Linked DNA regions of Tamandua tetradactyla. The protein of the gene in region 1 interacts with the protein of each later gene in a pairwise test. Links are inferred from orthologs where the notes say so. Each region holds a gene or a part of one and is shown on either strand. Other genes may lie near its edges.

Evidence for each region.
Region 2: the proteins of protein TFG (region 1) and MAPK1IP1L interact in binary tests that used the Homo sapiens proteins (3 or more experiments, as listed by UniProt). The two-hybrid records come from large-scale screens. The link is inferred for Tamandua tetradactyla from reciprocal best matches to the Homo sapiens genes TFG and MAPK1IP1L.
Region 3: the proteins of protein TFG (region 1) and PEF1 interact in binary tests that used the Homo sapiens proteins (3 or more experiments, as listed by UniProt). The two-hybrid records come from large-scale screens. The link is inferred for Tamandua tetradactyla from reciprocal best matches to the Homo sapiens genes TFG and PEF1.
Region 4: the proteins of protein TFG (region 1) and ANXA11 interact in binary tests that used the Homo sapiens proteins (3 or more experiments, as listed by UniProt). The two-hybrid records come from large-scale screens. The link is inferred for Tamandua tetradactyla from reciprocal best matches to the Homo sapiens genes TFG and ANXA11.

What each region holds. Positions count from the first base shown.
Region 1 is NC_135336.1:46,984,271-46,991,155, forward strand, and holds the start of protein TFG, read right to left. Parts: upstream 3,023-6,885; 5' UTR 2,672-3,022; intron 1-2,671. UniProt on the Homo sapiens protein: Plays a role in the normal dynamic function of the endoplasmic reticulum (ER) and its associated microtubules. Required for secretory cargo traffic from the endoplasmic reticulum to the Golgi apparatus.
Region 2 is NC_135338.1:11,053,401-11,061,079, forward strand, and holds the start of MAPK1IP1L (MAPK-interacting and spindle-stabilizing protein-like), read right to left. Parts: upstream 3,012-7,679; 5' UTR 2,844-3,011; intron 2,526-2,843; exon of another isoform or gene 1-2,525.
Region 3 is NC_135328.1:194,157,909-194,165,187, reverse strand, and holds the start of PEF1 (peflin), read right to left. Parts: upstream 3,022-7,279; 5' UTR 2,917-3,021; coding exon 2,893-2,916; intron 1-2,892. UniProt on the Homo sapiens protein: Calcium-binding protein that acts as an adapter that bridges unrelated proteins or stabilizes weak protein-protein complexes in response to calcium.
Region 4 is NC_135339.1:16,846,124-16,853,884, reverse strand, and holds the start of ANXA11 (annexin A11), read left to right. Parts: upstream 1-4,761; 5' UTR 4,762-4,885; coding exon 4,886-4,940; intron 4,941-6,583; coding exon 6,584-6,696; intron 6,697-7,761. UniProt on the Homo sapiens protein: Binds specifically to calcyclin in a calcium-dependent manner. Required for midbody formation and completion of the terminal phase of cytokinesis.

The DNA.
Region 1 (6,885 bases):
TAATTTACATGTTTAGTGTACAATAGTGAATAAGTTTAAGAGCAAATAATGGGTTAATATCTTTTCTTTTCAAGAGCAAAATTTCTTGAACACATCTATAAGTACTGAGCATTTCTTAGCATCAACTTTTGCCTTCTCCTGCCCAAACCAAATGATCTCGCTTAGGCTGTTTAAGGTGCCTGAAAACCTTCTACTTGCACATTCCGGTTTCAACCTCATGGTTTACTACTAGCAGCTTTCTATGCTCTCAAATTTGTTACTTCATTAACCTCATACTTGGTTTTCGAACTTCTCTGCAATTATTCTTTTTCTGAGAAAGCATCCACTTCCCCACCTCAACTCTTGAAAGACTCAAGAAAGTTTTCATGAATCCTCCATTAATATTTTTCATATAAATGCCATGTCCTTCCAACTAACTACTCCTTAAATGAATGTCTTGTCTTTAGATTCCTCAATCTCCAGTTCTCCTTCCTCTGGGCAGGTCACATTTTATTAATAACCATCTTAAAATGGAGGATTCACTTGAATACAACACTCTTAAGATTCATGTAAAACAGAGTGGATTGTGTTTCACGATCTGGATGCTATGCTTGTCTTAATGCAAAATAAGAATACAATTAGCTTTTTATCTGCCACTTCTCCAGCAGGACTTTTTATAAAGACTGTGATCGACTAAAGCCTCCATTCACCTGCTAGCCAAACCTGCCCTCTTCATTCAGGAAATATTTACTGAATATCTACTACGTACCATGAAATAAAATTACTTCAACTAAAAAAAAAGGGTATTGTTTGTACTTACTGACTGCCTGAGCATAATAAATATCTTTCAAACAATATATATGCTAACTTCTCCTAACCAAAGGACATGTAAACCAGTATTAACGTAGACAGGGAGCAGTGCTTAGCTTCAGTAAGATGATATTATCTATTCCCAGCAGCACTTGGAATAGTGCCTAATACCCAGCAGGTATTTAAATATTTGTTTTTCTTCCCTGCACAAAAGATGAACCTTCACATTGTACCTTCCTTATATAGCCAGAAGTGACTCCACATCACACATATTCCTAATGAAGAGAAAATTCCAACATGCAATATAACTGGTAATATGTCACTTTGATTGTGAGGGAATGGTTCATTTCCAATGGATCTAAAAATCTGAGTCACTACATACATTTTTATCTGCCATGTTTGCCCGCAAATTCACTTATTACTTTGTGTTTCCCACTGATTGTAAATTGCCTATGGCCGCTAGGTACCAGGGCTTTTTTTCCCAAGGCTGCCCCCAGTCACGCAGTCATCACCTAACCAGAAGTACAAAAGTGTCACAAACTGAGTATGCCACAAAATTTTCCCTTCGATGGTAAATAACATCCCACATTTCTTGATGTTAACAGAATTCTGGTTCTTTTTTTCCTCTAACTTAAGTACTAGTATAAACAACAAAAGGTTGGTAAAAATAACTAGCTCCCAAGGCTGCTGATGAGATCCTTACAGCATTCTCTTCTCCAATCCTGTCCCTTCCCTACCCTCTCTGAAGTCCAGAATTGAGATGACCACTGACTTATAAAATCCTTGAGCAGGAACACGTATCTTGGCACTGGAAAATGAAGTGACATGATAAAAAACCCACTTCCAGAACCAGCACATATGTACAGTGGCCAAACCTGCTGCATTAACACTGAGGGTAGGGCCCTGCTCAAATTTAGAGGCAGCTGCCTGGCACCTCTGGAGAATAGCACTTTTCCTCTAGATATCCTAAGCACACTCAAACTCTGATTATTCCAAAGAATGAAAGAGGCACCAAATCTTGCTCAACCAAAAGCAATGTAGCAAGATGGTAAGATTCCCAGTTATAGCTGAGTGACCTCAGGCAAGTCCTTCCCTAAGCTTCACTTATATTCTAAAGGAAAATAATACTATTTGTGGAAAGATCCTTGTGATGGTTAAATGACATCTTGCACTGGAAGGGCCACAGTAGCCCAGTGTCAGCGTTCTCGCCTGCCATACCGCAGATCTGGGTTCGATTCCCGGTGTCTGCCCATACAAAAAAAAAAAAAAAATATATATATATATATATATACACACACACACACACACACACACACACATATATAATGTATCTAAAATTCCTAGAATAATGCCTTGCAAACAGTCAACTCTTAAAAGTTAGCTCTCATGACTACAAATTGGGCCTCCAGACGGCGCGTGATTAAAAGAGCTGACACAGCCAAGGGAAGAAGTTCCTCGTAAGTGACCGTAACCCATGTATTCCTATAGACACTCTTTTCCATTATTTTCACCCTTCCAAGCGTATCTGGAAAGACGCGCGACCCACCCCAGGCCTCCCAAACTCCCTGTCCTCTCTCTCAAGAACCCAGGCCCCCTGCATTCCGGCGGAACCGGTGTCAGGGCACTTGCGGCCCCAAACACCACCCCGACCCCGCACAGTCCGCCCACCCTGCCACCCGGCCGCGGACCCCTTTCTTTCTGCACCTTCCCCTCCCCCAACACTAGGCTTCGCCTGGCCTCCTCCTCTCTACCCTGGCCCCTCCCCCTACCACAACCCCCTTCCCAAGGCCCCCAAGGCCCCTCTGGCCCCACCCGCCCGGCACCAGGAGGTTCGAAAGAGGCCTTCCCAACGCCTCCTCGCCCCCATCTCCGGCGACCATACCGGGTTGCTGAGGCCGCTGCCTTCGCCTTCCCGCGGGTCTTCGCTGGCAGCGTCAGAGCGAGGCTGCCCCTGCCCCTGCTGCCAGGCTCCGAGGCGTCAGAATTCGGTCACGACCGGCACGGCTGCTCTCGGCCGCCGCCGCACCTCGCTCGCTCGCTCTCTCGCGCGGACGGGGCCAATCACACAGACCCAAAAAGCCTAGCGCGAGCTTGGGCGCAGTACGTGGCAGGTGGGGGAATAAGAGGGCGGGACAAGAAAAAATCTGCCCTCTCGCCCCGCCTCAGTGCCAGCGTTCTAGGACGCATGCGCAAAGGCGTGGGCGTGGGGCTGGATACAACCGTGGTCGCGTCTGCCTAAGGGTCACTATCTTCTCACTGGGTGACTTAGAGGGTTGGAAGTGTGAACAGAACGGAGGCACGCATGCGCGGGGCGTGACCAGGCACTTCCGGTTTTCCTCAAATCAAGTCTTTTCCGGTTCTTCTCCCTGGGCGGTACGGCAGTTGCAGTTCTGGACTTTTTTTAAACAGCCAGCTGAAATTTTTCCAAATTTGGCTGTTTTTGTTCTTTTGACCATTGTGGTGCTCGTAGTCACATCTCGAAAAAACTAACCTTTTTCCCGCGTTCATTCCACGCATCCATTCATTCATTCTTACTGGGCGCCTACTCTTTGCCATGTATTGGTTTATAGATGAATCAGTTTGTGAGCAAGGAGTTTACAATTCAACAGAGTAGACCAACAACGTTTACAAGACAGGACAAAACTATAAATGAAGTGCTAGGAGATAAAGACTCTCTATGGTTTCCTGAAGTCTTTTTGGAGTATGACATTTGAGCGTGTCCACATCCCCTTCTTCACTTTAAGCATTTGTTTTGCTTAAGACAAGGTACTTGTCTCATATTGAATCCTAAGTGTTTCGGGTCAAGTGGTAACCGTGAGGATAGGGCCCTGCTATTTTAGGAAGGGACATGCTATTTTAAAAGTTACGAACTGCGTTGCCTTCTAAGGTGAAACTAAGCAAATACTTAAAGCATTTCCAACTTAATCCTGTCCCGTGGATATTCCTGAAGGACCTGAGGTAAAGTAAATTCAGGTGCCTCAGGGTGAAAGTTAGTTCTTTTAGTACTGTAAATATTTTGATCTCTTTGAAGTTATGTCTGAAAATTCTGTTTGAGTGAAACGTGTAAGTTTAGAATGCTTTTTACCTCTGAGTGTTCGTGTATTTCAACACGATTTTGAGTATTGCTCTCTGACAGTTGCACAATTGCAGGTGGCATCAAAAAGTTCCTGATTTTCTCCAGAGACTTCTTCATTGCTTGTTTTTAAAAATTGGACAGTCTGCATTTGTAGAAATGTTCTGCTGTCCTATAATTTTTTGATATTTTGGGGGAGTTTTTGATATTTTGGGGGATAGTCTGGGATTAGGTAAAACCACACCTAATGAGCAGAGGTAAACTACCTGAAAGGAATGAATTCTACCACTGTCAATCTTCCTAATAAGAGGTCACACTATGGGGTGGGTGATAAAGATATGAACCTTGGCATGGAATGAGAAGGAAAAATTTCTTTAGACTCCTAGGACCAGGATACTGACTCAAGAGTCCTCGCACTGAGGAGATATAAGCTGTCCTCTACCAAACTATGGCCAGCTGAAGCTAGGAAGAGAGGCATCCATAGGGTGGCTTTGTAGAGGGACTGGGGTTTGTGGACTTTGAAAACAGTTTCAGATCCTCTGTGTTGTAATTCCTTTGTGCTTCATGCCCAAACCATTAGTAAAGTCTCATTTAATGTTAAAAACCTGCTCCCATTTACCACCATGGAAATTGAGGGAATAGGGTTGTTGTTATTTGGTAGGTCAAAGCAGAAGAAGGAACTACCCAGACAGAAGTGAGCTACAGGAGAGTAAAATAGCATTTTGGAGCCAATTGAAGGTTCAGGTTACACAGGACAAAAAGGACATCTGTGCAACATTAAAGCATTTCCCAAGGATTACTCAGAAATGTGTATTTTAAAGTTTTTAATGAAGGGCTTTATTATGGGTTCTGCATCATGCTGTTCACCTGGATATAGTTTTACAGTATTGTGATTGGCATGATGTCTGGAATATCTGAGTTGTATTTATATGTCATATGAGATCATGTATTGGGAAGTTGTCATGGTTAGGTTCATGTGTCAACTTAGCCAAGTGGTTGTACCTGTTTGTCTGTTGGGCAAGTGCTGGCCTATCTGTTGCGATGAGGACATTTCATAGAATTAAATCATGATCACATCAGCTGCATCCACAGCTGGTTACATTTGTAATCAGCCAGAGGGGAGTGTCTTCTGCAATGAGTAATGCTTAATCTGATCACTGGAAGCCTTCTAAGGAGGATTCAGAAGAGACAGGCTCTTCTGTCTCGGCTGGTGAGCCTCTCCTGTGGAGTTCGTCCAGCCCCTCCATTGAATCATCAGCTTCACAGCCTGCCCTGCGGATTTTGGACTCTGCGTTCCTGTGGTCATGTGAGACACTTTTATAAATTTTATATTTGCAAGTGTTCCCTATTGATTCTGTTTCTCTAAAGAACCCTAACTAATACAGAAGTATACATAATTATTATTTGATTTTGATATATTGTCCCAATTAGGTTAGAACGCCTTAAAAACAAACAATATCCAATGCATTTTTCATATTTCAGCTCAAGTACCAAACCATCCATGAAAACTTCAGTGATCTTTCCTGCTTCTGACCCTATTTATATAACAATTATCTTTCTAAAATTAATTTAGAAACATAATGAACAATCCTGAATTTTGTGTTTAGCATTTGCTTGGTTTTTTTTACATCTTGTTTGTAGTTTAGTTACGTGTATTTATGCTTAAGCAATGATATTCAATTTTATTTGTTTATGGACATTATGTAGATTATCATCTATATGCGGTTTCCTGTAACATAATTTTTATACACAATATTACGTTACTAAAATAATACATGTTGTTATATACAGTTGGAGTTTATTTTCACTACTGAATAATATTTCTTTAGGTGAGTATACTACAATGCTTTAAAATCTTTTCTCCCATCAAAGGATATTTGGGTTATTTCCAGTTTTTTACTGTATGTTGCTATGAATTTCTTGTATATGTCTCTTATGTAAGAGTTTTTGATCAGTTATATACCAATCAATGGATTGCTGAATGGTAGATTTTGCAATATTTAACTGTATAAGATAATGCCAACCACTGGTATTGTTAAGCCTTTTTATTTTGGGAGGCATAAATGGTTTCTTTTTGGGGTCTTAATCAAGATCATAAAGACCACAGTATAACCCTGACTTTGTGTACCAAACACTTGACAATTAGACGTTTAGTTCCTTGTGTTCTCTCATGGGATTGTCCTGTATCCTTATCTTTCTATGTTACAGTATCTGTAACAGTGATTGTATTTTCTCTGTCCCTCCCAGCACCTGTCATTTTACTGTATGAATAGTGAGCATTTAGTGAGTATCTGTTGAATCAATGAAATAGTTATTACTATTTCTGTAACATGCCCACAGATGATTATATAAGTCTCTGTATTTAGACTCCCCGTAAATACAGATGATTATGATAGAGTGATAACTTGAATTGAATCAGTTACCCTTACAAAGAACATAATTTCTCCCATTGTATATATAAACACTGATTTTAGTTAGTGCTGCCTTCTATTAGTAAAGCCAAAAGGACTAAGTTATAAGATTATCACTTATTAAGCAGTTATGACCACATTTATTGTAGATGATCATCAAACATGCCATTGAGAAGATTGTTCTAGGGACAGGTATTGTGTAAGTAATCACATTTTTAAACCATTGCTCTTCAGAAGACATCTTGCCCTCTTTTGTGTGGAGCCTGGAAAGGTACTGAGCTAGACTAAATTAACCCTCATGTTACCTGTCCTGTCTCATGTGGAGGTGAATTTAGTTTTAAATCAACATTAAGAATAGCCTTGAATCTGAAAGTACCACTTAATGCTATGTGAAAGTTGATACTATGTGAAGAAAGGAGGAGCAGTGTTAAAAGAAATATCTTTGACACTGACTGAAGCAAAAGGGGAAAAATGAAGCTCTGCAGTTCAAAAGATACTTTCCATGTTTCATGTGAAGCATGTGAAGAAGTGTTAAAGCTATACTATGATTTTGAAAGACAAAATCACTACTACTCACTCTTTTGCTCTGAAAGTCTGTATGGCTAGAATTTA
Region 2 (7,679 bases), on another chromosome or scaffold:
TGTAAAAATACCTAGATTTCAACCAAAATATATGAATTATACTACTTATTAAAATGAGGACAATGTAACATTGAATGCCATCAAAAAGTTATAATAATAAAAGGTTTTCACTTCTCTTTCCTTTGGAAAAACCTAAACGCAATGCTTGGAAAATTTTCCATCACTACTTACGAAAGGATCTATACATCATCCAAGAAAATGAGCAGCAATAGTAATTTTACAAGAACACATTTCTTTTGACATACACTAGAAAAGTAAAGCATAACATTTCTATGAACTTCTAAACCAGAAACCATCTCCTCATCTGTTACAATTATCCCCAACTACCTCACAGATAATTACAGTAACACTTGATTTATAAAGTGCTATACTCATATAAGATATTAAGAGAAACTAAAGGAAGCTGGATAGGATTTTCATGTTGATTTGTTTAGTATTGGGGGAGGGTGATGGCAATGTATTGTTTTGAAAATTACAAATTTTGAGGTAGAATATATGATACTTTTCAAACTAGTTCATTTATTAGCTATGTTCTGTTTCTGACTTTTGGAAACTCAAGAAATTGGGGTTTTGAGATGTTCTGCACATTCAAATTTACTTTAAAACGTGTAATTTCAAAAATTCAATCTTTCAGTAATCTTATGTTAGATATACGTAATACATATATTCAGATATGTATGGAGCTATATGGGCTAGTCATGGTGTTGGGCTCTAAAATTAGTATTACATGAAGCAAAGGCTTAATGCTACCATAAAACGCAGCTACATTACCTAAGCACAGGGTGCTATGGGACTACCTCCAAGAGGACCCTAAAGGAATCAAGAAAGGGGATGTCAGGAAGGACTCCTGAGGAGCGGTGCCTTCACAGTCTAGAAGAAAAATGAGGATAGATCTAGGGGCAAATTCTAAGGAAAAGAGGGCAATTTCTTTCAAAAGATGGGAGAGAGGCAAGAAGGCAGCTGTGGGGAAGTACAAACAGCTCAGATTGGTCGGAATATAGCAAAGGAGAGAAGGGATCTGAAACTCTTAGCAGACAGGAGACCTTAGATCAGGATGTGACTCCTCTTTGGTCACTTAAGAGTCAACTCATCTGAATGAATCTGCTTCTTCAACTCTGAAGAATATATTAATAATGTTGTGAGAGATTAAGCGTGACATGTCAAATATCTACTATGTACCTGGAAAAAATGGGTGGGCCACGAATACCAAATTCTCTTACCTTCATTTGTAAATGGGCAGATGAGCATTTGGTTAAAAAAATGAATACTGAAAGAATACCCGCCTAGGCTCAAAGTGCAGCTCTTCACTGGCTGGCTCTGAACCTTGGACAAATGAAACTGTCCAAACCCCACAGGTTAAAAAGAAAATACGAACAGTATCTACCTCACAGAGGAGCTGGAAGACTTATACAATAAGTAAATCTCTGACTCGTCTGGCACATAGCAAAAATTCAACAAATACTAGCTTTTATAATTACTATTACAGGGTTCTTATCTTTCAATCTCCAAACCTTTGAAAACAAAAGAAACTGTGCCAATTTTCGCACAAAACTTACTTGGAGGCAAAACCTGAACTGAGGCTATTTGTAGTTCCTATTAATTCCCACTTAAATGAGTGGATATTCACACCTCCACAAATAAAAGTTGGATGTTTGGGTGCTGCGACTCACGCGGGGGACGGGGGGTATTATCAGCTGTTTAAGCACCAGACTGTATTTCTAAAATCTAAAGGAAAAATCCAAAGATTTCTAAATTCCAAAACACACTGGCCCCAAGGGTTTCAGATAGAAAACTAGGGACAGCTATCATCCGTTTCTCCAGGAGAGATGTCAGAAACAGTCCCATCTATGCATCTCAATTCAAAAGTTTCTGGGGGCAAATTAGTTTTGAATAGGGGGATCCGAGACACCAGTATCAACGAAAATCTGTATTTTCCCTTCCTCCAAAACACTTCTGAACTATTTCTGAGGTAACAGTCCACCTGCAATAAGGCTCTGTTTTCAAAACAGGCCTGTACAACTACTAGGTGCACAAATGTGTATTTCTCTAATAGTAATGCTATAAAAAATAATTTCCAGTCAAGTGGGCCTGGACGGACGGGTCAACGTCAGAATCTTTATTAAAAGCACTATTGTTGGTTTCTAAAGTATAGAGAAAAAAGATTAAGCTATTTATGAACCGCAATACCTAATATATACCCCAAGATCCAAAAAAAAGAAAAGAAAGCATTACAGAACTCGGCACGTCTCGTATTTCCTGTCACGGGTATCCAAAATTGAACGCATTGTCCCCAACTCGTCTAGAGAATAATCAAAACGCTGTCACCCTGACAATCACCTCAAAAAAGCATCAGACTCCTCTAAGTATCTAATTCAGGGCTTCCTCCCTTTTTATCAGAAATTAATCAGCAGGGGCGGGGGGTCTGCGCCAAGGGGCGCGAGGCCTACAGTCCTCCGGGGCCGAAGAAACAAAGGGAATGCGGGACCAACCGGAGCGAACCGGCCTCCGAGCGGGTCGCGCCCGCCCCGGCGGGTGGGGGAGGGGAGTAGGCCCCGCCCCCACCCGGCCTGACGTCAAGCGCCGAGAAACCCGCCGGGCGTGACGTCACCGCCTTGGATGCCTCGGACGCCTTCTCCTTGGGTGGGCGATGGGGGGTGGTGGCGGCCAATCTGGGGCCCGCAAGGAGGTGACCGAGAGAAACGCTCACCTCCCAGGGAGGTGAGCACGGCCCAAGCACCGGAGGAGACTCGAGGCACCGCCGTTACTGAGCCCGCCCTCCAGCCCTTCAACGTAATCTTTCCGGGCCCGCTCCGCGACTCCCACCAGCGCCACAGCAGCCTCACCCGGCAAGATCCAATCCGTAGCAAGGTCTAGAAGCGGCGATGGGTACGAAGGAACTGAAGGCTGACGAACCAAACGCAACCTGACGGGCGGCGGCGGCAGAAGCGGCAGCAGCAGCGGCAGAGGCAGCGGCGGCAGAGGCAGCGACGGCGGCAGCAGCGACGGCAGCGCGCGGCTCCTCCTGGCGCCGGAACAGGAAGCGCCTAGCGTGCCTCCCCCGCGCGCTCCCGCCCCTCCCCTCGCGGCTGGTCCGGCGCGCTCCCTGCAGGCCCCGGGCAGCACTGCATCCGGTCCCGGCTGGGCGGTGCGGCTCTTCTTAGTCGGCGGGTGGAAAACTCCCATGTTTTCCAAAGTTCCTAGGACTAGGAAGAAACGCCTGTGGCCGGTGAAGTTCAGGGGAAATTGACAACTTGTTGCCTTGAGTGGCGGCTTGAGGCCAGGCCCTATTCTGCACCCCTAAGCGCAGCAGTTTTTACAACCGGGCCTCGAAGGAGGCTGTGTGTGTGTGTGTGTGTGTGTGTATGTATGTGGCCAGTTTGCTGTGTGTGTGTGTGTGTGTGTGTGTGTGTGTGTATGTGGCCAGTTTGCGCCTAGCAAAGGACTCAGACATTAGACACCCATAAGCCAAAATTGGAGTTGAATGAACAATGCAGGAAAGGAAAAACATTTACACATTTACAAATGGCTTGATAAATTGCCATTAACTAAAGGAACAGCTCTCTCTTCGCATTTTTCCTGAGCAATGCCTCTTCTCCGCACATGTTCATTTTTGAATAACCGTTAAGCACCTACTCCGTGTGAGGCCCAAAAGATAAATGACATAGTCCCAGCCGTCAGTGAGCCACAGGCTAGTAATAAAGATGTGATAATTACACGGTGTGCAAAAAATAGTTGAAGCTAGTTGTTAAAAGTATGCTGTACACTACATTATTTTGCTTGTGTAAGGCGTTTGTGGGTCAGTGGCCGGTCATTGACTATGAACTACCTAGATGAAGACTTAGCTTTGGGTGTGCTCGCAGCATATACTTCTCATACAGAAATGAGCAATAGAACATCAGATACCTAAGTCTTGGAAAGACATAACTTTGGATAGGAGTACAGGGCTCTGGTCTATTGACAATCACACCACTAGTGTGGATAAACCAACCCTGACTTATAAAAGGCAGTTGACCAGCAGTGCTTTGCAGAGCCCTACTGAAGCCTGAAGCAGAAGGAAATATCAGTAATCCAGATTCTGCATTTATCTAAAATGTTGATATTTTGTTCCACAGAATATTTTTTTAAAACCTCACCCTAGTTGTGGCCTCTATTAGAATGACTGACAGCCTCCAGATTTTTCCTGCTGTTTCCATTCAATAACTGAGCAGGGTTGGGGTTCTAGAGCCAGGCGATTCTTGTTCTATGTTGGATTTTCTACGGGCAAAGTTTGTTTGGAAACTAACTCCCCATATGGTTCTGAATATTCAGAATTGCACTGCAGTCTGAAGCCCACTCTACCCAATCTTTCCTTCCAGTTTTCCTTTTACAGGTGTCAGATTTGCAATGTTGTCTTTAGACTTCCCCACCTTCTCCTATTTCCTCCCCCTTTATCCTTCATGGGTGTTTCCCTCAATAAGTCTGTTGTGCATTTAATCGCATCTTGGCATCTCTTCTTGGAAGACCCAAACTGACACATGAAAAACTAAAAGGAGTGTATTGTAAATTAGAAAATTTGTGAGACTACAGAGTTTTAAATTTTTTTTTACATATTCTAAGTTGAACATGAGAGGCCATACAATGTTTTAAAAACAAAATACAAAGCCTTTGGATTTCATATATTGTTTTAATTAAGAAGAAATGAGAATTTATTCAGATCAATTTATTTAAAGTCACAGCCAAGAAGAAACATTCAACTCCAGGATTAGAAATAAAAATGAAAATAGTTTACTTTTGGGGAGGAAGGGGTGGAGAATAAATCATACAAGCCTGATTGACAAGAGTACTAATAGTTTTGTGAAGTTACTACTTAAGCTTTGTACATTCAAGTAGATATCAAATTCATACTTGGCTTATAGAGTTTATCCAATTCTGGTAAAGACAGTATTCTTTGAGTAAACCTCTGAGTTTTACACCATGTCTCTCAAGTCTGAAAGCTTAAATTTGACTACATGTATGGCAAAAATGATTATCTTTATTTCCTGCAAATGTAATCAATTTTAAAATAAGTTAGGCAAACATCAATTTTACATAGGCCTTCTAAAGTGTAGGAGGAAATTACAATTGTTCATCTAATTGCAGAGTCCAAACAGTGAATTCAAATCTGGAGTTACCTCTATTGTCAAAGCAAGCCAGGAAAGGTTATTACAAACTAAAAGATGTGACTGTGATTCTGCAGGGTCTATTAAAGGGATACTTTGAAAATCATTACATTACTACTTAAAAGCTGTACTTATTTTCAAGTATGCCCCAAGGGCCACTTCTTAACTTTAGAATTAACCTATAGAAAGCCAAGTGACAAGTATTATTACCTACATTTTCTATATAAGGAAATGAAGGCAAAGAAAGATTTAGGACTGAATAATCTACTCAAAAGTCTAAAGTAAATCAAAGATAGACTTTGGCTTTATTTAGAAAAGAATTCATATGCCCTAAATCCCTTTCCATTGGGTTATATCCATCAGTCTACATTTCTAATTAAAAGCCAATCTATTTTTAAAATTTATGTCCATTTTGTGTCTAGTATCTTAATGAATTAAAGTAGTATAGATAGACTCTTGCAGCACTGCTCAGTTTTTCTACTAGGCCATTGAACAAAAGAAAAACCCTTTGTGCTTTTGGTTCTTTTTTTAGAAATTAAAAAATGAGTGTACAATTGATTGTTAAAACAAAAATTGTTAAGTTTTTTTCCCCCCAAAGTAGAAACAATTATTTACTTGACTCAAAATCTTTAACTCATTTTGGCATTAAGTTACCTAATGCTACAGACTATTTTACATTAGAATTTTTTCCTTGTCTCCAGGAATCTTTTTTTTTTTCATGGGCAGGCACCGGAAATCGAACCCGGATCTCCAGCAGGGCAGGCGAGGCTCGAGCCACCATCGCCCGCCCTCCAGGAATAATTTTAAAGTATACTTAAAAGTATACTTTCCTGAGACATCTGCTCCACCAAAATCAATATATAAGCTGTTTATTGGACTCTGATTTATAACTAAAAGTGACAAAACTCCATTTTTTAAATGCAAATGAGTGTATTTATAAGAGTTAGGTCTTAAGGTTTTTGTTACATAGGAAGGAAGCTCTCTATTATGTGGATCGATAAAATGATCCAAACTGAAGAGAAACAGGAAGCTGATAACTTGATTTATCTTAATGGCTTTGTCTCATGAATAAATAATTTGTCTGTGTTTTTCTTATAAAAATAAATGGTATTTGTTCAATAATGTGAGCCCTACTTACCACATTTGTTCTACTTTTTAAAGGATTTCCAATTTCTAAGACATTCTTTATATTATTTATGTCAAAACTTTAACTGAAAGCAACTTTTTGACCACAGTTGGCCATTAGATGAAATTCAAGAAAGAACACAGGTTTGATCAAATCAATAAATCTAGCCACAAGCTGACTAAAAGCTTCCTTTAATCTTCTTCCTATTGGGTCTTCCTTTAAATTAAAGCTTTCCCTCTATGAATTATTTAAGTGAATGGCATGGTTATAGAAAGAGCACATTACTCTTCATACAAAAAACACAAGGAACCTAAAGAAATCCATTTAATGTATTTCAGGAATTATAGTATGAATCAAAGATGCTGTAGCTTTAAAAAAAAAAAAGTGGTGGTGGTGGTGGTGGAGAGAGGATGTCCTGAAAAGCTTCAGAGAGAAATAGAAAAGTCAAGTTTATTTCCTGATTAGTGCAGTATTATTCCCAAAGTGCAGTTAAGTGTCTGGTCCAGACTAGCTGTTAGTGATTAAGCAGTTTCCTTTCACTGTCAAGGCTTTTCCCTGAGGTAATGCTTAAATTTTTAATTTTAATATTTTATCCTGTTTCTTTTAGCACAATCCTCTCTTGCCAATAAGTACTACAGATTTCCACCATGCTGAATGTTTTCTCAACACTGGATTTTACACTTTTCAAATGTTTGCCATGTTCAACTTAATGATTTACAAAATTTATATTTAGATAAATTTGTATGTCTTCACATCTTCTCAAAACTTAGCCATTTTAGTTATCTCTCAATACTTTTTTTTAACATTTTAAAATGAGTTATGCTTTCCAAATATTTCCTCACAAAGTCGCAGAGAAAGGGTTAACCTTTCTAAATTCCAGTTCCTTACACTGTTTTAAAACATTAATTTATTGTTACTTTTTCCCTTTCCCTTCATGATAAACAATTCCCTTCTCAAGTATTGATATTTCTACTTTTCAAATTTCTTTTCACTGTAGCAGATACCAAAGGTAAAATGCAAATCATTTCAGAGTAAATATTCTGTAAATATTCTCTTCCCTGCTCTCACTTATTAGGTCAACTACTTTAAGGTTATAATTATGGCAGTATTTTAAAAATGTTAACAGCTGCTAATACGTTGAGGTTGGAAAAATAAGAATACCAAGAGAAAATATATCACTAGCAACTAGTTTGAATTATATGAAAAGCTACTTAGATCTTGACTTTCATACAAACACTATTTTTTACTATTATAAAAACAACATAATTATATTTCATTTTTCTTTATAAAACTACCCTTTAACAGAATATTTGTTAGCTAGTCTTCCTTTAGGTTTTTCTGTACTAATAAAAAGTTATGTTTAAAAGAAAAATACTTAAAATTATAATTGTTTCACAGAAACAGAAAGTCTTATT
Region 3 (7,279 bases), on another chromosome or scaffold:
ACCACTCCTTTTTTCATTCAAGTAACTCCTACTGGTAATTCAGCTTTTGGTTTAAATGTCACCTTCTTTAAGAAGACTTCGTGCACCCCATGACTGAGGTAGGTATCCCTCCCGTGCCTTCCTAGTTCCTCACACTTACACCATTTTATGCTTTCACTAATTCTACAATTTACACATTGTATCACTCTTCCATTTGGGGTGTTTAGTACATACCAAACACTACACAGAACCCTTTAAATGGAATATCCCATTCAATTTTACAGTAACCTCAATGACCCCATTTTAAAGAAGGGGTAACTGAGCCTCAGGCCTTTTTACAAGAAAACTTCTCAAGGAAGTGTCAGAGGGGGGATCTGATGCCAAATCTATCTAGCCTCAGAGACCAAGCTTTTCAGCATTGAAATGTACCCATCTGGTTTCCCGAGACTATGCCTGAGTGCCCCAGGACTTGAAGCAGTGGAAAATTACAGGAGTTCTAGCTCTTAACAATTGTCTGGAATCTTCCAGGGCTGTGTACTGTGAGTGTGTTTGGGGGGATGGGGGTGGGGAATGCTGACTGAGCCCTTGGGGCTTTTGAAAACAACCATTTCCCTCTTAGAACACCTTTGATTAGGAGCAGAACAGGCAAACAAGGGTATGTTAGGGGAAAAAAAGCCATTTATTCTTTTATTCCAGGCACTTTACTCTTCATGCTCCTGTTCAATAATACCCCCCAAGCATAAGCCTGGGCAGCATGGCACAATAGCAGCAATCACACAGCAAGAGTTGCTACCAAGCACTGGCACACACTATGTATTAGCAACATGCCAAGCTCCCTATAGGCTTCATCTCATTTCATCCTCACAGCCCTATGAAGTATCATGTTGCCCTTTTTACACCGAAGAAACTGAAGCTCCAAGCCCTTAGATGGTTTGTCCAAGGGCATACAACCAGTAAGTGGTAGAGTTAGGATTACAGCCAAATTCTGTCTAACCTGGAAGCTCAGGCTTCTAAATTCTGTTACTGCTTCTAGGATGCAAAAAAAAAATTACCCCAAAGTTTATTAAAATGCAGATTCTTGTACCTTTTCTGGGCATGCAGCAGGTCTGAGGTGGGACCCAAAAGTGTGTTTTTTAAACAAGTTTCCAGGTGATTCTGATGCAGGAAAACCATACTCTGAGAGACAATATACTATGGCAGTGTTTTCTCAAACTGTGTTTCTCAGAAAATCTAGCGTCACAAAACAGTTAACCAGTCTTATAAGGGGGGAGGGGGAGAATCCATGGTTAAATAAGTTTGAGAAATATTGCATATTCTGTCCCTCTCTAGCAGATTTACAATGCACATTAGCAAATCATGAATTCTAGCATGTTCTATAGTGAACAAATGCATTCAGCTGTATTTAACGAGTGTTTCCCAAACATTTTTAACCACAGAATCCTCCCCCTATTACTAATACCTATTAACATCTCAAAAGATTCAGGATAGAGTTTGAAAAACTGTGCTGGATTATATTTCCTCCTAACCCCAGCTGATGCTGGCCTTTCTTCCTCCTGCTATGTGTGAATGAAATGAGTTCTAAACCCTAGCCTTACCCTCACTTGCTATGGGTGCCTTTGGACAGGCCCCTTACTCTTCATGCTCCTTTTGAGTAATACCTCCCAACCATAACCTCTTTGGGCTTGTTTCTCAGCTGTAAATCAGGGTATTCAAGCCTGTGAGCATGCTATAGGGGCTTCAGGATTGTGATGATGGTGGATGGAATGCTGTGAAAACTGGTTGCGCTCCCTTGAAGGGTTCTTGCCACATCTTTTGGCACATCACTATAGTTAGCTGAGTGCTTTCATCCGTTGTTTTCTGATTTTTCCTGCACATGCTTTATCTCCTAAATTACTGTGTGATTCTGGGCAATTCAGGACCCCTTTCTGGGCTTCAATTTCCTTCTCTGTAAAATGAGAGAAGTAAATCATACTTGAGGACCCTCCCAGTACTAATATTCTAGGAATCTAGTAAAAATCTCAATACCAAAGGATAACACTTGTTGCACCTAATGCTTTACAAGCATCATCTCATTACTCTTAGTAACAGCTCTATGAGGTAGGCCCTATCATTTGGTCCTATTTTAAAGAGAAAAGTTTAGCCCAGAAAGGCAAAATAACTTGCTTAAGGGCTCAAAATTATTTAAGTGATGGAGCTAAGATTCAAACCTAGGTCTGACTCCAAACTGCACTTCACAACCATGCCCTACTGTTCCCCAACATATAACTCTTGGCCAGGGAATCACCTCCTGTGGTGTTCTTGGCTGGATGAGGATGGGCTAGCAAGTGGGGGCGAGTCATTTGCTGGCAGCCCGGGGTTCTGATCTCGACTCTGCTGCTTAACTACCTGGATACTAGATATAAATTCTGCGTTCTCTGGGCTTCATGTTTCCTATGCTTGAAATGGAAGGGCTGGACTAAGTAGTTCACGTCAGCTCACTTGTGGGGGCCGTAAAATCACAGCCTCTCCTTAGTATTATGATGCAGTTATGCCTGAAGTCGTTCTGAAATGCTGTATGTTTATCCGACGCCCCAAATGACTCCGATGGAAACAGTGTCCTGTCAGTGCCGATGACCCCGCTCGGAGTCCGGGCGGAAGCCTAGGAGGGTGTAGGGCGCAGGCCGGGTCCAGCCGGAATTCGTGGGGTCCAAGGTCCCCAAATCCTAGCGTAGGAGACGTCAGAGAGGGCGCGACACGACCTCTCAGACGCACGGTACTGCGTGACGTGAGACAGACGCGACCGACCGTCAATTTTTCCTCTCTCCCGTTGGGAAACTCAGCGTGGAGAATGCGGAGAGAGAAAGAAGAGCGGGGTCCCCGGGCCTGGCCTTGGCACGGCCCCTACCTGGATTCGCGGGCCCTTCACACACTCACCTGCCCGTACGGATAGCTGGCCATGGCGACTCTGAGGTCACACGTCGGCGAGGGGCGGGGCTTCCCATCCTAGAACCCGCCCATCGCGTGGGCCTGGGGGTGGGGTCCCTTCTGATTGGATATCTCCGACTGTCAATCTTGGGTACTGTCGGCGGGTATGACGTAACAGGGTGACGGTCGGGTTCCTCCAGGAGAGACCTGGGGATCCAGGAGCTGGGTGGAGGTTTGCAGAAATGCTGCTTACCGCATTGGCGCGTCTGACCCTTTCTTTCCTGACTTGGCGCAGGCCCCAGGGCTGCCCAGGCTTGGATGCTTAGTGAGACGCCTGGGCGTTGTTGCTGCAGTGGCCATGTTAGAACCTGGCAAATGGGACGCGGAATAGTGGCGTAGTTGCTGTTGTTCCTCCAAGTTTCCACCCGAGGAGGGCCCAGGCGGTTGCCATAACAACGGGAAATCGCCTGACCCCCCCCCCCCCCCCCGGAGAAGACGGAGGCGGGCGGCGCCTCCTCTCTAATGACAAGACACCCGGGTGCCAATTAGTAGCTCTGGGTTGGGATACAGACCTGTGATCTTCAGAGAAGAAAATACCAAACTGTCAGACTGGGAGGAAAATGAGATCCTCTAGTGCCTCATTTCATAAATGGGGAAACAGGTCCAAAGTGGCAGTGACTAGCCTTAGTTCACAATGAATTCGTGGCAATGTGGCCTGTAACCGAATCAGGGAATGTCCATTTCTCAGCAGGGAAGCCTCGACTTGCCCCCATAGTAGGTCAAATCGTAGTTACTGAGTTACTTGCCTCTTAGTGGAAATTTAGATTCTATACTTGTTTATTAGGTTAATTTATTAAGTAATTCCATGGGGACAAGGATGGTGATTGTTTTTGCTTGCCCTTATATCTCCAATACCTAGCACAGTGCCTCATGCTGTATTGTTTTAAATGAATAAATTAGTGTTATGCGGTGTTATGCAGTCCAGCCGCTCTATCTAACCAGCTAGCCAGGCATCTTCTGATATTAAAGTGCAGGTCATGCTCCTTGTCTGGCAGCCTGCAATAGCTTCTCTCAATCCATACCTACAAAATAAGGCCCGGTCTCTTCATCTTGGCATTCCAGGCCCTTCATCTGGCCCAATTTGCCTTTATAATCTGTCTCACCGTCCCTGTCTGCCCTTCACTCTGTACTTCCTATGCTCTCTCTTCCCATTCAGCACTTTTGCTGCAGAGTGAAGATCTTGGTTTCACAACTTCCTAACTGGATGATCTTTTTAACTTCTCTTAGTCTGTTTCCTCAGTTCTCAGAAACAAATAAATATGGAAAAATGAGCTTATTGCATCTGCTCATGCCCTACCTTTACTCAAATTACTCCTTTTGCCTGACCCAGCAGCTGTCTCATTGCCAGTGCTTTAAGGCCCAGTTCCAATCACATCCTCCTCATAATCCTCCCCCACTTCCCCCAGCTCCAGAGTTAATCCCTCTCTTACCTGCACTTGATCCAGTTACTGTGCCAAATACCAAAATCAAAGAGTTCTCTTTGATTTTTCCCCACAATCCATTCCTTCTTCATCTCAGAAAAATTCATCCACTTGCTCAGACTGAAATGCTAGGCTCATTCACAAGTCTTCTATCTCCCCATTCCCCTCACCTCCATTTGTCCTACGGCCAAATTATACTCCCATGTGCCCTTTTCTCCTTGTTTGCACTGTCATCCTAGTCCAGGCGTCATCACCTGTGGCCTGGATCACTATAATAGCTTTCTGACCAATATCTCTGCTTTTACTCTTGCCACCTCACCCCCGACTCTGTTGTTCATAAGGCCGCCAGAATGATCTTCTAAAATGTAAATCAGATTCTGTCATTCCTGAGCTTCAACTTCTCCAGGACCATCCCATCGAAATCTGAACTTATCCTCATGACCATCATGGTCCTACCTGACCCAGACCTGTCCATATGTCCAGCCTCACCTCCTGCCAGCGCTGTCCTCCAGTTCACTCCAGCTACGCTGGCCTGATCTTACCAAACTCATTCCTGGCTCTGGATCTTTGGATTAACTCTTTTCTGGGCTCATCACTGCTTGGGTTCTCCTTGTCATTCAGTTCCCAGTTCAAATGTCACCTCTTTAAGGGGGTACTCCTTAATACCCCACTCCCACCCCCACATTCCAATCATCTATCATATCACTATGTCTTATTTCTTCATAATATTATCTCTGCTCAGTGCCCTCTTTAAAATTTACATATGTAATGGAATTTCCCCCATGAAAAATGTAAGCTCCATAAGAGTAGAATCATTCTTTTCTTATTCACTGGTTTATCCCAAAACCTAGAATAGTGTCTGACATGGATTCGTAAATATTAGTGGTTATTATTATCAGGTATTGAGTGCTTACCAGGTGTCAGACATTGTGCTAAGTACTATGTTTTGTTTAATTTTCACAATAGTCCTTTGCAGTAGATACTATTTTCCATTTACAACGAGGAGAGAGGCTGAGAGACACTAAGTGACTTCCCTAATATCAAACAGATAATAAATGGAAAAGCCAGGTTTGAACCCAAGTCCACACTCTTTTAACTACTCAGTGTTTGGTAGTTGGTAGCCCCCTGGACCAAGACCAATTCCCAAAAATATTTATGGAATTGAATTGCAAAATCTCAAAAAGAAAAAGTTCTGAAGTCTGGGCTGGAGGTCAAGAGTGAGAGATAATAGTGGCACCTGGACTGCAAACTGGGGCCATGTGATTCAGTCATTTATTCCACAGACATTAACTCACCACTTGCCAGCCTCTGTTAAAGGAGAGGAGGATACAACTTTATGAGATTTCCATGTACCCAAACCCTGCTTCCCAGCAAAGGGCTTTTAGGAGCATTTTCTGTTAGAGCTCTGTGCTATCTGGGGGCAGAGACATCCGAGTCATCTCTCAGGCAGTCAGAGACCAGCCAAGGTTAAGATATTTAGGGCTGTGCCTCAGCGGATCCACAGCAGGCCCAGGTGTGTTTATTTTGGAGGTTGCTGGATGAGAGGGAAAGAAGGATCTCCAAAGATTGAAAAATAATGCATTTCCAAAACCTCAACTACCTGAGGCAGACAAAGGTGGGTGGGGAAGTTATTATCTCAGCTTTAGCCAAAGGACAAAACTTGAATTCCAGCTTTTTTTTTTAGAGTGCAGAGCACTTTCCTGAGCTCATGGAAGCCCTGTTGTTGACCCATTAGAGGTGAAGCCGAGTTCGGTAATGGAAGGTCCATCCATTGGAAAATATTGCCTCCCCTAGAGACACATCACCCCCATGGCCTCTTGGCTTAGCGCCAAGCTCCAGTATTACTTACTGGAATACCAACACCTACCTAATTATTATGGAATTTCTTCTCTCTGATTCCAAACAGATCCGGTTCCGAAATCTAAATTCCACTTGGATATTGTGGATCAGAGGGTGAGATGCAGCTTTCCACAGAACACACAGAAAAATGAGAATAGCAGATTTGGCAAATTGGCTGCTCTTCCCTTCTATTATGGGATCATATGGAGAGTACGTTTATCCATTCCACTCCCATAAAATATTAAGGACAATTACAGAAAAGATATAGTTGTGTAAGAGGTTAACAGACCACATGTAAAGGAAGAGTTTAAGTAGATTCTAGTGAATTCTGGTGACAGAAAAATATTATGACAAAAAGAAAGATTTAAATTCCAGAAGGCATCTACATTAGGATTTTTATCTACAGAACAAATAGGCAGCAGTCTATCTTCCATTTTGCAGAGCCGAAGATTTCTCAAATTAAGGATCCTCCAATCCATTCTTCACACTGTAGCCAGTAAACTCATCACTAGGTCAACCTGACTCCTTACACCCTTGCATAAAACCCATCAGTGGCCTCCTGCTGTGCCTCCCCTGCACATGCTCCGCATTCCAGCTGCATTGTCTGTTGCCAGCCACTCAGCACACTGGGCTCAGTCATCTCTGGACCTTGGCACATGCTGTTCCCTCTGCCTGGATCAATCTCTCTGTCTTTTGTCTAGACAATGTTAGCACCCCCAGCTGTGCTCGCTCCCCTGGCATGGCACGGCCCCATCATCCCACTTTATTATAATTACTTGTTTAACTGTCTGCTTTCCCCATAGATGCTGTGGGGGCGGCGACCATTTCTGTCTGGTTGGTCTCTTAATCCCCAGAGCCTAGTAGAGTTCCTGGCACAAAGTATAAAGAGGAAACAGACTCATCGAGTTAGACTTTGGCAATCTGAATGATCTGTGTTCTCTTAAACACTTGAAATAGACTAAGAAATGAAGACCGAAGAATAACAGCGCAGGAACGATAAGAAGGCTACCGAAAAAAGTGGAAGGCATGCACTCCTCCTGCCTTTCTCTTCAGCATATCCAGCTCCTGAACTTATG
Region 4 (7,761 bases), on another chromosome or scaffold:
GAAGAGAAGACGACCCAGCTGCTCCGAGTGGGGTTAGACCTGCCCTGTAGGGCCCCCCAGGGCTGAGCCGGTTGCCAGGAGGCAGATTCCGACTATTGGGGTGGGGGTGGGGAGTAGTTTTCTTGTAAGCCCTGCCGGGAGCGAGCGCCCGCAGCCCCTGTTTGCGTGCAAGCAAGGACAGTGCCCGCTAACTGCCACGGGCCTTAGTAGCCAGTGGCTGCTCCAGGTCCAAATCCCCCACCTAACCCTGGGCTGGCTCCAAGCAGGGCCACTAGCAGACTGAATGGACCCTGTGTGGGCTATTTTTTTTTCTTTGCATAAGCAGGCACGGGGAATGTGTGGGCTATTTTAATCTTGGAAGAGCAGCCCTGACTCTGGGAGGCAGGAAGGGCTGGCCTCAAGTGAGTTCAGAAATCCCTACCTCAGTTGGACCTTTTTTTTTTTTAACATAGCAAACATGAACATTCTTACCATATGATCATTCCATTCTTGGTATATTATCCATCAATAACTCATATCATCATCACATAGTTGTATATTCATCACCATGATCATTTCTTAGAACTTTTGCATCAATTCAGAAAAAGAAAACAAAAAACTCATACATACTATACCCCTTACCCCTCCCTCTCGTTGATTGCTAGTATTTCCATCTACCCAATATATTTTAGCCTTTCTTTCTCCTATTTTTTTTCTATACCCCTTACCACTCCCTTTCATTAGCATTTCAGTCTACTAAATTTATTTTAACATTTGTTCCCCCTATTATTTATTTATTTTTAATCCATATATTTTATTCATCTGTCCATATTATAGATAAAAGGAGCATCAGACACAAGGTTTTCACAATCGCTCAGTCACACTGTGAAAGCTTTATCATTATACAGTCATCTTCAAGAAACATGGCTACTGAAACACAGCTCTACGTTTTCAGGCACTTCCCTCAGCCTCTCCATTACACCTTAACTAAAAAGGTGATATCTATATAATGTGTAAGAATAACCTCCAGGATAACCTCTTGACTCTGCTTGGACTCTCTCAGCCATTGACTCTTTGTTTTGTCTCATTTTGCTCTTCCCCTTTTTGGTCGAGAAGGTTTTCTCAGTCCCTTGATGGTGAGTCTCATCTCATTCTAGGATTTCTGTCCCACGTTGCCAGGAAGGTCCACACCCCTGGGAGTCATGTCCCACACAGGGAGGGGAAGGGCGGTGAGTTTACGTGTCATGTTGGCTGAGAGAGAAAGAAAGGAGTTGGGCCCTTTTAAAAGTCGTGCTTTTAACAGGCAGTAATGCATGTGGCAGAAAGGCAGAGGGTATGGATGTAAACAGTAAGCCACTTTCCTGTGCGTTCCTGTGCCATTTTCCCTGCCAAAGGCAACCACTGTTACTCAGGTTTTCGTAACATAGGTGCTCTCGTGTACGTATGTGTGCATATACAAATGTGTGTTTGTATGTTTTCCTTTTTTAAAAGTTAGCTTGATAGACACATAGTCCTGTACCTTAATTAATAACCGTGATGATCATTTCATATCTCCTCTTTAAAAATAGCTATATAATATCCGTTGTAGGTGTCTACTGTAATTTATTTAACAATGGTATTTATATAGAGTTCTTTGCTATTATTAAGATTAATGGTGCAGTAAATTCCATGGCCTTAGGTCGTTTCACCCCGATGTGTAAGCGTGTTTGGGAAATAAATTTGCAAATTAGAATTCCTGGGTCCAAGGGTATGTGTGCACTTTAAATTTTGATAAGCCTTTCCAAAGTGCTTTCCAGTGAGGCTGTTCTTATTTATATTTCACCAAGTGTTTGAGGTCCTGCTTTTCCACAGACTTGCCAGTATGGTGAATTATCTAATTAAAGTTTGTTTTCCAATCTGATAGATTTTTTTAATTAAAATTTTTTAATGTAAATTTTAATTAAATTTTTTATCGAAATTTTTTTAATGTAACAACATAAGAAAACGAACATTCTTACCATATTATCATTCCATTCTTAAATCTGATAGGTTTTTAATTGACAGTTCTCTTGGTATGCTAGTGAAGGTGCACACCTGTGTTTCCTTTTCTGTAATTGCCTGGTCACATCATTTGAACAGTTTCTTTACTGGTTGTTGGTCTTTTTCTTACTGATTTCATCTGTTTTTTTATTATGCAATTTTACTGAGCTATATTCACATACTATAGAATTGTCCAAAGTGTACAATCAGTGGTTCACAGAATCATCCTATAGTTTGTACATTCATCACCACAATCAATTTTGAACATTTTCATTTCTCCAAAAAAATACATATAAGAATGAAAATAAAAAATGAAAAAGAACACTCAAAACATACCATACTCCTTATTTCCCTCTATTATTTATTTATTTACTTATTTTTGTCCTATTTTTTATTCATCTCATCCATACACTGGATAAGATACTGTCAGCCACGGAGTTTTCACAGTCACAGTGTAAAAGCTATGTAGTTTTTACAATCATCTTCTCAAAAATCAAGGATATTGGATTACAGTTCAACAGTTTCAGGTGTTTCCTTCTAGCTATTCTAATATTTAAAAACTAAAAAGGGAGGGATATCTATATAATGCATGAGAATAACCTACAGAATGACCTCTCAACTCTATTTGAAATCCCTCAGCCGCTGACACTTTTTGGTTCATTTCCCTATTTTGGTCAAGAAGTCACCCTTAGATCCCACGATGCCAGGTCCAGGCTCACCCCTGGGAGTCATGTCCCACGTAGGAGGGAGGGCAGTGAGTTCACTTGCCAAGTTGGCTTAGAGAGAGGCCACAAAAGGGGTTCTTTGGGGGTGACTCTTAGGCATAATTATAAGTAGGCTTAGCTTCTCCTTTGCAGGAATAAGTTTCATAAGGGCAAACCCCAAGATCAAGGGCTCAGCCCATTAAATTGGTAGTTCCCAGTGCTTGTGAGAACATCAGGAATTTCTCAGGTCAGAAAGTTTAATATTTCCAGTTTTTCCCCAGTCCCTCAAGGGGGCTTTGTGAATATTTTTTATTCTCTGCCCAAATTACTCTTGAATGTATTGGGGCATCACACTAACCAGTACAAACCCACAGGACCTCACTTCCTATTCAAGGTTCCCTGTAATCATAGTGTTCAAATAAACTGACCGTACAAGTTAAATTAGATAGTGTGTTACAAAAAATATAAATTTTGCACCAAATAAACATCTCTTCCCTGGTCTCACACAGAAGTTGACGTTTTATAACACAGTCAGTGTCATCCTTTACCTTTCAATCTGGTTCACCTTACTCCTAACCAGACCAGCGTCATTCATTCCTCTAGTTGAAGTCAGATCTCTTTCTCAGCTTTTTTAACACTTGCTGTATGGAATAATGCTGATTTTCAGAGCTGCAGCGCTCTAGCTCTGAGTCTCAGATGTCAAACATTTATCGAAATTACGGGAAACGATGAAGTTATACACAAAGAGCTCAGCATCTTAGAGTTTAGAAATAAGTGTTACACTCAGGAGTAGATGTGATTGCTGTAAGAGCTTACTTACAATCTAGGAATCTTTACAATTCTCAGTGTTTGCACCTTATAGCTAGTCCATATTCACCTAATGTTCACCCTTGTCCTCAAGGTCCATTCACCTAGTTGCTTGTCAGTTGAGGTACCCTTGGGCCACCTCCATCCATTGAGAATTGCCGCCGTAAACACCAGTGTGCAAATGTCCAGTGGTGTCCCTGCCTTCAGCTCTTCCAAGCATATACCTAATAATAGGATTGCAGCATCATGTGGCAGCTCTATACCTAACCTCCTGTGGGGCCACTGCACTGCCATCCAGGTGGGCTGCACCGTTTTACTTCCCTAACAGCGGTGAATAGGTATAACCCTCTCTCTACATTTTCTCCAGCACTTGTATCTTTGATTTCATCTTTAAAGAGCTTTTTATTTTAAAACAAGGCCTGTAAAACATTTTTTCTACCTTTGTCATTTCTCCAACTTTATATTGTGTTTTAGAGCTTTGATTTTATATTCTTGGGCTTTGGAGCCATTTCTTACACTTAAATCTAATCTGGCTAAAATTGATTTTGGCGTAAGGAATTAGGGTAGTAACCCAACTGTGCTGTTCTTGTCTTTTAACTCTGACCTGGCTATGGAGGGGCCGTTTGGCGTCATTCTTCTAAGAGGAGACCAGGAGTAGGGAATGGGCTTTGATTCCCAAAGGCCGTCCCTGGTGATGGGTCTCCCAAGGGCAAGGTGTCAGGACATGGGAGCAGCTCCCCCTGCTCTCCTTTGGAGCAGTTCTTCTTTCTGCCTTCAGAAGGTTCCTAGTCCATCATTCAAACCCGCCACGCCACCTCCTCACCAGTGAGGTCTGAGGACTTGGGCAGGACCTCAGAGGACTCTGTGCTGCCTACTGCCCGGCCACTGGGGGAGGGCCAGCGGTCCCTCAGCCACCACATGCTTCTTAGGGAAATTCCTCTTAAATGTGACAGTTCACCCCTGACGACGGCTCGGGGGTCAGTCCTGGGCCCTTTTCGTACCCATTACTTGGAAGAGTCACAATGCCATGTGGACCAGATCGGTAGCTATCGGAACATAGCTGAGCTAAAGCGTGTGATGTCAGCTGGCACTTGAGAGGCTCCCTGCAGGCCGCGGTGATGGACCTAAGGGAGAACTTCAGCAGGCCTCCACGTAAGACCTAGCGTTGTCCAGAAAACCCAGCAGCCCAAAAAACAGGGAGGAGGAGAGCTGTTGCGATGGGGAGGGAGGGAGGGCTTCAGGAAGAAAAAGAGCTGTCAGAGGAGAGGGTCCTGGTTGTGGTTTGTTTCTGTCGCGTCTAAGAAGCCAAGCGCTGTGCGTGTGGCTGGTGGGGGCAGAGCCCGAGTGTGCTTTCCTCTTCTCTTTCAGATCTCCCCATGAGCTACCCCGGCTATCCCCCGCCCGCAGGCGGCTACCCCCCAGCTGCACCAGGTAAGAGGGACTGGGGTGGACTGGGGAATAATAGTGTTTTGGGGCAGTTTCCTCCCTCCCCATCTTCCTCCACAGCACACCCACATAGGGAGGGGAAGGAACCACCAATTGGGGGGCTGGGGCTAGAAAAAGGGCATGGACCCCAAGGCCTGAAGAGGCCTGGGTTTGAATCTGCTTCCAAAGGCAGGGACCGACCCACTCTCTTGCCTTATTAGCTGATGGCACTGAGCAAACGCTGCCCCTTCTTCCATTTTCATCTTTGCAAGATGGCTTCCTGGGTCCCTCCCTGTGCTGCGTGGATGCTTGTTACTGAGGTCACCAAGCAAAGCGTCCTGAAGCTCTGTTAGGTGACAGGTGCATGGTTTTGCAGCCCAGTCCCCCTACAGCGGGAGGAAACGAGGCCTTCCTCGCTGCAGCTGCCCAGAAGCTGTGGCCACAGGTAGCACCGAGGTGAACCCACCTGGTCAGGGATCCAGGCATGGCCCTAACTTCACCACTTTCCACCACACTGAGGAGCCGTCTTCTCTGGCCCTGTTGCCTCCTGTTTTCCTAAAGTGAGATTTGGTCCCCACAATCAGAAAGGAAATGTCGGGGCTCCTGGGACAAGAGGGAGCCCCTCACTCCGGGCTGCACCTGGCGAGGTCCTCGGGCCCAAGCACGATGGGCCCCGTGGGTCACTTGGATCGCCCTCCCACTGACAGGTGAAGGGACAGGCCCAGAGCAGGGAGGCGGCTCAGCCCCAGGCTCACAGCCCAGCAGGGGTCTAGCTGAGCCATTTCTCTGACCCGAGCTCCTGCCTCCGATTTGCTCCCACGGCCTCAGCCCCCACCCTGGTAGGAGTCCAGCCCTCTGTGTCCCACCGCTGCCGCCATTTGTCAGCACAGCTGCTTAGCCTCTGAGCAGCCAGAGAGGGAGTGGGCTGGTGACACAGGGAAGGATCCACTGCCCTGAACTTCCCAGAGCCCAAGAGCTGAGAAGCCAAAACCAGGTCCTTGGGGGGCCTTGTCCCTGCATCTAACCAGTGCACGTTCCCCAGGCTCTCAGCCCTCCTCACAGCTCTTCCAGGGAGGCTAATTAGGCTAATTATCCCATTTGTCAGCGGAGGAGCCTGAGCCCATGGTGGTGCAGTGCCGGCCCCAAGCCGAGTCCCCTGTCCCTGTCTGTTCAGAGCTAGAGCTTTTCCTGGTATCTCCCCATATTGTGTGTTTTCCGTGGTCCAGTGGTGTCTCTCCATCCTCTCATCCTGCCTCTCCCAAATGTGTCCTAGCAAACAGCCGAACTGGCAGGAACCCACCCCACCCCCTGTGCTTCTGTGTCCCCTCTGGATTCTCGAGCAGTCACCTCCTGTGCCCGCCCTGCCCGCTGTGGGAGGGTGACTGCGCAGGGGGTGGGGGTGGGGGTGGGGGTGGGGGGTTGTTCTCAGGAGTGTCCGTTGAGCTCCACTTCCCTCCCTGGAAGGAGGAGCAGGTTTCTCCTTCTTGCTTTGGCAGCAGGATCAAGTCAGGCTTTTCTGTGGGGTGTGGGACGCAGCCCTGTCCCCTCTGCTGGGCCTTGTCTCCTGACCTCCTGGGAGCTCAGTGTCTTTGCTTTTTCCCTTTTGGGGCCACTCGGGACAGGGCTCACGGGCCTGGTGTTGCTTTCAGGTGGTGGTGCCTGGGGGGGTGCTGGCTACCCCCCACCCAACATGCCCCCCATTGGGCTGGATAACGTGGCCAGCTACGCAGGGCAGTTCAACCCGGAGTACCTCTCAGGAATGGTGAGTCCAGCCTCCCACCAAGGCTGCCCCTGTGGCTGGCTTCCCATGGCCTCAAGGTGTCTGTATGGGTCCACCTGGGTATGCCGGGCTCCATCCTGGGACATAGAACTGTCCTCAGGGCCCCCTGCCTACTCGCTGTTCCTGTGTGGGTCTCACTTGTGTCCTTTTGGTAAACTGAAGGGAAGGGAAGGTACAGGGCCCTGTGGTCTCTCAGGTCCCTTTCTTCTTGGGGGTTTGTATAATGCGCGGTGCCTTCATGGAACATTTATTGAGCACCTTCTGTATGAGCTCAGCCTAAGGGCTGGGGCAGGGCGGGAAGCAGGTTATGTACACACATACGCATTTGTATGTGCGAGTGAGTTTGGACAAAGGATGGCTATTCTGATGGAGCCTAAGGAAGAGGCGGTGGCAAGTAGCATAGACAGACATGCTGCTTTAATTTGTTGTTTTGCTTTTAAAATGATGTATTTTATAATCTGAAAACGCGTGTGTGCTCAATGTAAGCAGTGTAGCCAACATGCAGCCTAATTGGTACCAGGCCCAGCTCTAGGCCCTGGGGATATGGGAATAAATCAAGGAGACATCTCAACCCTCCTGCATATGCCATCTACCTGGGAGAGACAGACAAGGAACATTTGAACTGTGCCTTGTTTGAAAACGGGTTGGTGCTGTATAAAGGAAGAGCGTGCAGGAGGCGGCGGGTCTGAAGTGAGGGGGTTGGTGATGTGGGCAGTGCTGTTAAGTTGAGTGGTCAGGCTGGCCTTGCTGAAAAGGGGACGTTGATTGGGGCACAGCCTGGAAGTAGGTGGGGGTGGTGAGGCATACATATGGGGGGGGGGGGCTCTGGGTAGAGAGGCACCAGCACCCTCAGGTGGGAGCGGGCTGATGTGCCCAGGAAGCAGCCAGGAGCCAGAGAAAAGATGAGCCGTAAGACCAGCAGTCCAGCTCTCATCAGGTGGAGAAGGCTGGGCTGGGGGTTTTGACTTTTTCTCTGGGTGTGATAAGGACAGCGTAAAAAGTCCAAGTACTAGCCCAGCCTCCCCTCCCCTCCTGGGGGTGTCTGCA